Linked DNA regions of Ovis aries. The protein of the gene in region 1 interacts with the protein of each later gene in a pairwise test. Links are inferred from orthologs where the notes say so. Each region holds a gene or a part of one and is shown on either strand. Other genes may lie near its edges.

Region 1 (3,649 bases):
AGGCTAGGGATCCTCTCAGGCTGCTCCTATCCTCTTCTCTAAAAGACTCATGTTTCAAGCTTCCATGTCCAGGAGAAGCGCCAAATTTCTTACAGCAAAGTGCCGCTGGAAGGCCTTAGGACCTCGGTAGGTATAGTTTCCACAAATCTCACAGTTATAGTTGATATTTAGGCCATGAAGCTTGTACAACCAGTAAGGAATGGGCTAAAAGAAATGAGACAAAAGAAAAACAGTATTAGACCAGTGTCTGCATGTGCTGCCAAAATGAGAGAAGGGGGAAAGAGGGCAGCGGAGGACTGACTTTGCCGTCCCAGCCCAGGGGCAGGTTTTTGGGGTTGTAAATGATCTCGTTCTCTTCGTCTTCGCTCTCACTCTCACTGATCTGCTCCTCCTCTTCCTCTTCCCGCTCTTCTCCAGTCCTCGCCTGCTTGCGTTGCACGTTTTCGTGAGTGAGATGTCGCTGCTCCTATGTCAGGGCCATGAATGAAAGGGGAGGTGAGAGAAGAGTGCAGAACAAAAAGGGAAATTTCCTGTTTTCCTATAACCTTTGTTGATCCTTCATTTTTAAGGATCAAGTTTTCTTTCTTGCACAACAAAAGGAAAGTCTTGCTTTCAAACAGAATTCCTCTTCAGCAGACCTTTCCTGATCTTAAAGGAAAAAGTAAAAACAAAACAAAAAAAACGGAAAAAGTTAAACCTAGCACTTGCCTAGTTAGTCATCTGAGGCCACAGACAATCGCAGAACAATAGAAGTCTTTTCTCTTCTGTCCCTAAACCGTTCCCTGAATCAGTCTTCCTTTCTCTTTCCCACTGTTATTGCCCTCACCAAGGTGACAACGTTCCAACTTGCCCCGAGTCTGTCCTCACTCCAGTCTAGCTTCCATGCTGTCCCCAGATTTATCTGCTGGAGAAAACCAATCTCGTGGCACACTTTGCTTAAAAACACTTTAATCTGCTTTCTGCTACTTAAAGGACAAGGTCCAACCTCTCAACATACAATAACTTTCCAAATTTTTCTCTGACTACACCATCCCTCACCAGACATACCCAGGGACAATGGTTTGTTTTCTCATTATTTCCTTTCACAGTAATTTTACCTTCATACTTGCTGTTTCCTCCACCTGGAACATCTTAATCTCCCTCTTTATACTTAGAACACCCAATCTCAAAGTATTACAGTGAACATCACATTATACTGCAGTTATCTGTAGCCCTCAGTCACAAACTGGGCTTTTCAAGGATAAGAGGCTATGTCACATTCACGACTGCATTCAAAGATTTAGCATAATATTTGGACACCAACAGGTGTCAGTAAATGGTGAAGCAATGGTAAAAATAATACCAATTCATAACAAGATCAACTTTTGGAACTCATTTTGGCTGGAACTGGCTGGAATTCCAAGGAGAATAGTGCCACCTCCTGGCGGGGAAAGCAAAATGCTCTCAAAGGTAGGACTTGTGGGCACACCTTATGTCAGGGGCACAGATGAGCCTCGCATTTGTCTTCAAAGGACCGGTGACTCAGTCTGCTGTCCACACTCAGTTCAGTTCAGTCGCTCAGTCGTGTCTGACTCTTTGCGACCCCATGAACTGCAGCACGCCAGGCCTCCCTGTCCCTCACAATCTCCCGGAGTCCACCCAAACCCATGTACATCAAGTCGGTGATGCCATCCAACCATCTCATCCTCTGTTGTCCCCTTCTCCTCCTGTCCCCAATCCCTCCCAGCATCAGGGTTTTTTCAAATGAGTCAGCTCTTCGCATGAGGTGGCCAAAGTACTGGAGTTTCAGCTTCAACATCAGTCCTTCCAATGAACACCTAGGACTGATCTCCTTTAGGATGGACTGGCTGAACCTCCTTGCAGTCCAAGGGCCCACACTAGCACAGTCCTAGTTCAGTGTGGAGAGTATAAGTATCCCACATATCCAATGTCTAGCTAATCCCTTTCATCCAAAGGAGTTGTAACAGTGGGATCCAACAATGACTCTAGTTTTATGAGTTATTATACACGTGGTCATCAAACAAGGGCAAGAGACAAAGACATGTGGACCAGCTATCTGAACCAGAGCCACCTACTCAAAGCACCATGTGAGCATCTGGAAAGGAAAAGGCTCTGAGAGCAGTTGAAAACTGCACAAAGCAGACACTCAGAAAGGCTGGTCCTCTCTGCAGCACTCCCAGAGACAATGACCATCTTCCACCTTCTCTTCCCTGAAAGAGAATCATTTTCTCCTGCTCCTCCCCCAACTTTCTCTAAGATAAGCATCTTGGTTGGGTAGGCCTTTTTGTACCTGTAACCCTCTTCAGCTTCTTCTTGAAAAAATACTCAAGGAGCAGCTCACAGCCAGTTCTGCACCACTAACCTCCAAACCTAGTACCATGTAAGTTGCTCCAACCCTGTGAACATGTAAGTTATGCCTTTTCAGAGAAAGTCATTCATGAAGACCTGCTGCTGTGGGCACACCTATGTCAGGGGCAAAGATTAGCCTCAGTCGTCTTCAGAGGACTGGCAACTCAGACTGCTGCCCACACTCGCACAGTTCTAGTTCCCTGTGGAGAGTATAAGTATCCCACGTATCCAACGTCTGGCTAACCTCCTTTTATCCAAAGCAGGTGTAAAAGAGGGAGCCAACAGATGACTCTAGTCACATCTTACACACCTTTTGAGTGTCTGCTTCCTGGATCACCCCTGGCTCTATTCTGGAGCTCAGGGAAAGAATCTGGATTCTACATGGAGAGGGGAGTCTACTCTCCCACCCAGCCTCAGGGGATTGAGCAAACCTAGGAATGTCACCTAACAACAGACCCCTAACAACAGAGCAGGACCTCAGTGAAGGGCTAAATACCATGGGAGAACACAATTTTCGGCTACAGTAGTTTGATCTATGCATTTTCTCTTGCAATCGTAAAAAATATCCTACAAGTTCATAGCTTCTTACTTCCACAACTTGGAGCATTTACAGCCCTCAGCTGAGTCACTTACCCCAAGAATCTCTACATATTCGTATATCTGGGCTTCAAGGAAAGCAATGTCTTTGTTCCTCTCAGTGTCTCTGGAAATAAGAAACAAACTGTATCACTTAAGGGTTCTTTCACCCAATGCCATGTTCTCTATATCTGGGAATATTTATTCCATAGGAGCATCTAAAATTACAAGCACAAGAGAAACATCACGTTGTGAAAGCAAATGTTCTGTTCAGCTCAGGACTTGTTATCTTTATTTATTTTTAATTAAAAAAATATTTTTGGCCATGCTATGTGGCTTATAGGATCTTAGCTTCCCAAGAATCAAATCCAAGCCCTCTACAGTGGAAGCGAGCAGTCTAAACCACTGGACTGCCAGGCATTTTTCTCGAGATTATTTCTTAGAATGCATAGAAGCTTCCTCTTTGACCTCATTCTAGAGAGTGAAAGGCATGTCCAGGTATTTAAATTCCTATACAAAGGAAATGTGGTACAGAAGGGCAAGCTCTGGAAGAGGCAGACTTGGGCCCAAGTCTTGCTACTTAGTAACTGTGAGATAACAGGTATAACTTTTCTAAGTCCTTATCTGTCAAAGATGAGGATAACAAATACTTTTCAAGCTTGTTTTGAGAATTAGCAAAATCACATATAAAAAAAATACCCTGTACAAGCATGTGGCTCAGGAA
Region 2 (3,690 bases), on another chromosome or scaffold:
ATAAATAATATACCATAGTGCCTGGCCCATACTAAGTCCTCGACAAAGGCTGCTGCTGCTGCTGCTAAGTCGCTTCAGTCGGGTCCGACTCTGTGTGACCCCATAGACGGCAGCCTACCAGGCTCCCCCGTCCCTGGGATTCTCCAGGCAAGAACACTGGAGTGGGTTGCCATTTCCTTCTCCAATGCATGAAAGTGAAAAGTGAAAGTGAAGCCACTCAGTCGCCTGACTCTTAGCCACCCCATGGACTGCAGCCTACCAGGCTCCTCCATCCATGGATTTTCCAGGCAAGAGTACTGGAGTGGGCTGCCATTGCCTTCTCCGCTATAAAGGCTACACAGTTCTAATAAACAACTGATTTTCTCTGCCTGGCATCACTTCTCTCCTTAGCCCTCCATCGTTTGGAAAATGGACTCTCCCACATCTCCTACTGCTTTGGTGAGATTGTGAATCACAATACTCTATCCTCCTCCTCTACAGCAGCTAAAGCAATCCAATCTGGTCTTGCAGAAACCTGAATATTGAGTAAGATACACAAGGACAGAGGGTAGTTGGAGCTCAGTCATTCACTAGCCAGAGAATCTGGTCCATGAGATCTGGCCCTTCGAGGTTCCCATCCCCAAGGGTGGCCCAACTGTTCAAGCTTCTTTTTCCCCCTCATTTCTCTATCTTTCCAATAATACTTTAATCTGAATGAACTTCTATTACTAGAAAACTTAGGAATCCTATCACAACATACATTTTGTTCACTAATTTATTATTTGAACGAGTTTTTTTTTTTCCTGTATTTATTTATTTGATGGTGTTAGGTCTTAGTTGAGGCCTGCAGGATCTAGGTCCCTGACTAGGGATCGAACCTGGGCTCCCTGTATTGAGAATGCAGAGTCTTAGCCATTGGACCTCTAGGGAAGTAGGTATGTACAATATACCAAGTCATCTTTTTGAAGACATAAATGAACTCCTATTTCACACTAAGCAAAGAAAAAATCCCCCCTTTCTAATCTTCCACAGCCTTTTCTCTCTCTCTTTTTTTCGGCATTGTTTACATTCTCCTTTGTGAGAATTACTTCTGAATGCGTATTCTTCCCACTTCTAAACTAACGAAAGCAAGGACCGCATCAAATACAAATCTGTATGTCTTAAAGTACTTGGTACCTAGTGCCAAGCAGAAAGAATTCAATAAACACAAATGTAATGGACAAATGAGGGCTTCCCAGGTGGCTCAATGGTTAAGAATCTGCCTCCTAATGTCAGAGATATGGGTTCAAGTCTGCCAATGACTTAGTAACTAAACAAGAACAACAGACAAATAAGTATTAGTTCTACAAAAAGGTTACCTTTAGTTCTCTGACAGCGACTTTTTTCACCTGACAGTTTTAGCTTGGAATAAGTCATCAAGTGTTGGCACCCCACTCCAGTACTCTTGCCTGGAGGATCCATGGATGGAGGAGCCTGGAGGGCTGCAGTCCATGGGGTCGCTGCGAGTCGGACACAACTGAGCGACTTCCCTTTCACTTTTCACTTTCATGCATTGGAGAAGGAAATGGCAACCCACTCCAGTGTTCTCACCTGTAGAATCCCAGGGACGGGGGAGCCTGGTGGGCTGCCATCTATGGGGTCGCACAGAGTCGGACACAACTGAAGTGACTTAGCAGTAGCAGTAAGTGTATACAACGCTCAGATAACACTGTCAATGAACTTGTCTTTTTCAGGATGAGTCGGAGTGGTTCTCCCTCTACTCTAGACCCGAAAAAATGAGTTTGAAGAAACACGAGTTCAGTAAGAGGGATTATGCACTCAGTAACAAAATATTGTGTTAGTTGCTCAGTCATGTCCGACTCTGCAACCCCATGGCCTATAGCCCACCAGGTTCCTCTGTCCGTGGGATTTTCCAGGCAGGAATACTGGAGTGGGTTGCCATTCTCTTCTCCACGGGACCTTCCCCACCCAGGGATTGAACCCAGGCCTCCTGCATTGCAGGTAGATTCTTTACCGTCTGGGCCACAAATAGCGAACATTTATTGACGTTTAAGCTAGACACTGTGGCACCACTGTATGTGGATTATCTGTGAATCCTTACAATCTTCTGAGGCATGGAGCTTTTTCAAGGAGGGAAAGAAGCCCTGAAAGATTATTTGCAGTATGTTTTACAGTTAGTGAACAGCAGCGTCACTTCAACAGAGATTAATAGAGATAGTCAACTAAAGGATGTACATAGCCTCATAAATGCTCCATGTTCTAAGCACAAATTCTTTCTCCACTCCGTTCTTCTCACTGGAGACATTTCTGACGCTAACATTCACGAAAGGGTGGCTGCTACCTCCAAGTTAACATTTGCCAAAGTCCAAGAAGTTACTGGGAGGAGGAGGAAAGGGGCGTGAAGAGCCTTTCCTCGTCGGTGTGGTGCAGAGGACAGGGGCAGGCTTGGAAGAGATTCGCAGCAAGATTCGAAGCCTCACTTGGTCCCTCATTAATTATATGATCTTGGGCGTAATTTTACTGGAGACTCAGACAACCTCAGCTCTGAAGATACGAAATATCTACTTGGAAGGCCTATCTGAAAACAAGGGGTCACGTCGGCCCTTTGTTAACAACGGGATTTCGCGCTCCACCGCGGCAGCGACAGGAATGCCGAGGCGGGGACCCGGCGGGCCGTTCAGGGGGCGGGGCGCGGCCCCAGGGCTCAGTCCCGGCCCGCGCCGCCCTCCCCCACCGCGCGGCGTGGCCCGCGCCGCACGCCCGCCCGCCCGCCCCTCTCGCCCGTGACGCCGCCGGGGCCCGCAGCCCGCCCGCAACCTGGCCGCCCCTCGCGGTCCCCGCCTCCCACCTCGTCCCGCGAGTGGGGCTCACGGCCCGCGAACAGCCGCCCCGCAGCGCCTCGTGCCTCACCTCAGCGCGTTCCCCCTCCTCCGCGCCGAGGAAACGCCAGCCGCGCGCGCGCCCGAGCTTGCGTGCGCGCTCCCTGCGGCGGCGCAGGCGCGAGCGGGCCGCGCGCCCGCCTCCTCCGCCCAGTCCCCGCCCCGGCCGTCGAAGCCCGGTCGCGGGTGGCGCGTCTGCCGCCGCCCCTGGCTCGGCCCCCGTCCGGGGCTCTCGCCGCGCGGCCGCCGCCGGCCTCTTGCAGAGAGGCCTGAGAGGCTGGGACTCTGAGCCGCCTGCCCGAGTTTTGAGTGGGACCAGTAATTACTTTTTCCTGAGGGCGTGCTGCTGGTCGCCGTAGGCTGGCTGGTGCCTGATGCCGCCGTTTTATCCGCTCCAGAGTGCGCTGAGCCGGAGCGGGCCAGTACTGCCCCGCTTTTGTGTTTTCTGACATTCCCACTCCCACCCTTGTTACCGCCTCGAAGGAGATCGAGGCTAAGCGCCTGGGCCCAAGGACGGCGAGCGGGGGTGGCCTCTCGAAGCCGGGTCTTGCAGTGCCGCTCGTGGATTAATCAGACTGCCTGAATGGTTTAAGGGTACACGGGGTACGTTTGATTCAGATGCTCCTGGAACGTCGAAACTATCATCTTTGGAAAGAACCATCCCCTCTTTGGGCTTCAGGGGCCCAGATTGAGGCGCAATGATGAGAGGATGTGGTGGTCCACTCTGATGTCAATCTTGAGGGCTAGGTATGTCCCGACATCTCTTGTTACTACTACTAATTATTGTAATAGCTGCCATTTGTTGGGTATTTACTGCATGCCAGGTATTGTA
Region 3 (3,658 bases), on another chromosome or scaffold:
GAGTATTACTCTTTCATTCAGACAATAGTTGTTTAGATTTACCCATTTTAATGGATCATCATATTTTCTTATATTATCACTTTCCACTTAGGATAAGTTTCCTTGTACCTTAAGTACATTCTTTAGAATTCCTTTAATGAGTATACTAGTAACAAATTGTCAGTTCTGTCTGAAAACATTTTACCATTTTTTTAAAAGACACTTTTGAGAAGTATAAATATGGGACTACATAGTTATTTTCTTTTAGCCTTTCCACGATGCTAGTCTACTGCTGGTTGGCTTCCAGAGTTGCCGAGATGAACCTCATCAGTCTTAAGAATGGTTCATTTGAAGCCAATCTTTTTAAAGAACTGTCTCTGCATTGTATTCTGTACCTTCACTATCGTGTGTCTAGGTAGAGATTTCTTTATGTTTATCCTGATTGGGATCTACTGGGCTTCTAAGTATTTGTATTTGCACCAGTCCTATGATATCCTCAGCCATTAACCACTCATCAAACATGGCCTCCAGTGCAAACTGAGTGTGTTTCCTATTGGAATTCCAATAGGTTTTTCTTCTGAAATTGCAACCTCTGAAATCTCTGAATGACTAATTTTTTGTCCATTCATTTTACTGGCTTTTTCTCAGAGTTTTTCATTACTTTTTGCATAGCTTTTATTGGGAATTCATTTTTTCTTAGATTTTATCTATGAGAATTATTTGAAGTCTGAGCTAAGTGTTGAATACTTCAGAGATTTGAGGTCATATGAATTCAGGCAATAAGCCCACTGGAGAGTCAACATGAATTCTCAAGGGGCACCTTGTACCCATCTCTCGGCACCAAGGTTTGTCATGATTTTCTCTGCAATCACTCCCTAGAGGTGGGAGCTTACTTCCAGTTCACCCTTAAGGTTGCCCTTTGAAGTTTCAATGTTATGAGACTGGAGTTGAAGGCGTCTGAGACTTCCCATCTTAGGCTCTGAGTTTTGCCTATTTTCCAATGTCCCTTGAGGTTATAAACACTACCAGTGAATGTTCAGTAAATGTCCTCAAAGTTGGCTTCAGAAATCCTTATTATCTCTGAAGAGCTTGCTCTTTCACTTAGTCTTTGGGCTCTTTCATATGTTCTACTAACTACATTTCAAATATATTTGTTCCCTCACCTCAGGATTTTTCGTTGTTTTCATCAGGGCACCCTTTGGCCATACTGGCCAAACAAGAGTTACAGAATCTTATCTGAAGACGAGAAACGAAATATGCTTGAGAACAATTTAAATATGTTCTGCATTGATAGATCCATAAATTAATTAAAGCATACTTGGGGATTTTGGAGGACAAGACTTCCTTTTAACAAGATCTGTTGAAGACATGTAGGAAACTGCACTGACCAGTTAGGAAGAGGTATTCTGGAAGTTAGTAATGTATCCTCCAGCCCAACTTTAGTATTATAACATGGTCTGAGAAAAAAGGCAAGTCTTTGACTAGATCACCTTAGCTTAAAGGAATCAAATAAGGTAAATATAGTGATATCATGAACATTTGTGTCTTGTTGTCATAATTCATTGAAAACACACACTGTATTAAGTCTCCCAATCCTTCCCCTCAGTTCTTACCAACTTCCCACAAGAATCAAATACAAGGCACCCAGCTCACGGTCAAATTTTCACAACAGGATCTCCATAGCCCTCTCACATGATTCTGAAAGTGTCTTTAGATCAAGAAATGCTGCCCTGAAGACCAACTGAACTCCACCTGCCCTTTCTACAGCAAATCCTCTCATATCATCAAAGTAACCAACACTTCGTAATAATAAAGACTGTCAGAGCTGCCAAGAACCTTGTGTGATGCAAACTCAGTCGCTTCAGTCCTGTTCTAGTCTTTGTGACCTTATAGACTACAGCCCGCCAATATCCTCTGTCCATGGGATTCTCCAGGCAGAACACTGGAGTGGGTTGCCAAGGCCTCCTCCAGGGGATCTTCCCGACCCAGAGATAGAACCTGGGTCTTCTGCATTGCAGGCGGATTCTTTACTGTCTGAGCCACCATATCATCTAGTAACTAGCCAAACACTCAATTTACAGCTAAGGAAACAGAAGCTTACAGTGAACACAGTTACCTAAAATCACTAGACTGGATAGCTGAAAGCTGAGTTACGGGCTAAAACCCGGTTTCCCGACTCCGTGCCCAAGCTTCACGTCTTGCCATTCCCTGAATGGGAACATGTGGGAGAGGAGACGGAAAGATCGACAGCTTCCCAGACAAAAAGCCAGCAACTTACACAGTGAGGGTAACGCCTGCCCCCCAGGGAGAGAAAGCCCTGCCTTAACTTCAACCAGCGCGGCTGCAAACCAGTGCAGAGTCTGCAGCAGGAGAGAGCACGGCAAAAGGAACGAGGGCTGCCCCATCAGGCCGAGAACGAGCTGGTCACAGAGAAGCAGAGTCCTGGGGTCCCGGAACACGGGGTAAGTTCGCTGGCAATGACAGGGACTCAGGGTTTCCCATCCGCGCCTCCTCACCAGCCAAGAAACGGGCTCTCTTAGGGCGCGACGAAAACAGGTCGGGACGGTAGCAAATCCAAGAACATGAAACAAGCCTCGGCGAAGTTTCTCAGGAAGACGCCGGGGATACGGCCGACGCGGAGGGAACCTTCCGCGAGAGGGCAGGGCGCTGGGGTCCTCGGGGGAAGGTCAGCGTGGACCCGCGCCAGCCGCTGACTACCGACGCCCAGCCCCGCCGGGGCCGCACCTCGAAGCCCAGCCCCCGGCCAGGGGCTCCCCCACCCCCAACGCGCCCCCGGGCCCGCACGAGAAGGAATCTTACCCGAGCAGGTGCCAGCTCCGCCATGGCTGCCACCTGGGGCCCGTCTAATACGCCTCGGGTTGCGTGCGGGGTTTCCTGGGGGGCCCGCCAGCACCTCCCGGCAGCCGCCCCCAGCGCCGTGTTGATGCAAGGTGCATTGTGGGAGTCCGGCCCTCCCGGGCCAAGACGGGCACCACCCGCCGATCCTCGCCGCGCGGGGTTTCCCCTGGCGCCTCCGTGCGGCAGGAGGGTGAACAACACCTCGGCCTTCAGCCCGAGAGGGACGGACGACAAGGACTTTCCAAGTCAAGGGCAGGTTGCAAATTTAAGACGAACCTCCTATAAGCACAGCTTCATTAATAAACCCTAAACAAGCAATTGTCTAAGTTTTTATCGTGATACGTTTACCACTCCTTATCAAACACTTAGTTCCATTTAAATTCATCTCTCAGTGGTTTGGAGGGCTTCCCTCGTGGCTCAGACGGTCAAGAATCTGCCTGCAATGCAGGAGACCCAAGTTTGATCTCTGGGTAGGGAAGATCCCCTGGAGAAGGGAACGACAACTCACTCCAGTATTTCTGCCTGGAGAATTCCATGGACAGAGGAGCCTGTTGGGATCGCAAAGAGTTGGACACGACTGAGCGACTAACAGGAACACAACGCGTAGACCTCTGTTTCTCCAGCACTCTGGTAGGTGCTTTGACGGATTGAAAAAATGTATAAAGCTCACGGGGGAGAATGAAAGAAGTGAAAGTGGAAGACGCTCAGTCGTGTCCAACTCTTTGCGACCCCATGGGCTATACAGTCCATGGAATTCTCCAGGCCAGAATACTGGAGTGGGTGGGTAGCCTTTCCCTTCTCCAGGGGATCTTCCCAACCC

What was found. The genes of interacting proteins can lie anywhere in the genome.
Region 2: the proteins of SF3A3 (region 1) and TADA2A interact in binary tests that used the Homo sapiens proteins (3 or more experiments, as listed by UniProt). The two-hybrid records come from large-scale screens. The link is inferred for Ovis aries from reciprocal best matches to the Homo sapiens genes SF3A3 and TADA2A.
Region 3: the proteins of SF3A3 (region 1) and ZNF212 interact in binary tests that used the Homo sapiens proteins (3 or more experiments, as listed by UniProt). The two-hybrid records come from large-scale screens. The link is inferred for Ovis aries from reciprocal best matches to the Homo sapiens genes SF3A3 and ZNF212.

Annotation. Positions count from the first base shown.
Region 1 is NC_056054.1:12,722,589-12,726,237, forward strand, and holds part of SF3A3 (splicing factor 3A subunit 3), read right to left. Parts: intron 3,053-3,649; coding exon 2,983-3,052; intron 467-2,982; coding exon 302-466; intron 205-301; coding exon 94-204; intron 1-93. UniProt on the Homo sapiens protein: Component of the 17S U2 SnRNP complex of the spliceosome, a large ribonucleoprotein complex that removes introns from transcribed pre-mRNAs.
Region 2 is NC_056064.1:13,423,972-13,427,661, reverse strand, and holds the start of TADA2A (transcriptional adapter 2-alpha), read right to left. Parts: upstream 2,940-3,690; 5' UTR 2,890-2,939; exon of another isoform or gene 2,828-2,889; intron 1,741-2,827; exon of another isoform or gene 1,736-1,740; 5' UTR 1,570-1,735; intron 1-1,569. Other genes in the region: ACACA (acetyl-CoA carboxylase 1), read left to right, coding at 3,568-3,605. UniProt on the Homo sapiens protein: Component of the ATAC complex, a complex with histone acetyltransferase activity on histones H3 and H4. Required for the function of some acidic activation domains, which activate transcription from a distant site. Binds double-stranded DNA.
Region 3 is NC_056057.1:113,476,358-113,480,015, reverse strand, and holds the start of ZNF212 (zinc finger protein 212), read right to left. Parts: upstream 2,940-3,658; 5' UTR 2,824-2,939; coding exon 2,800-2,823; intron 1-2,799.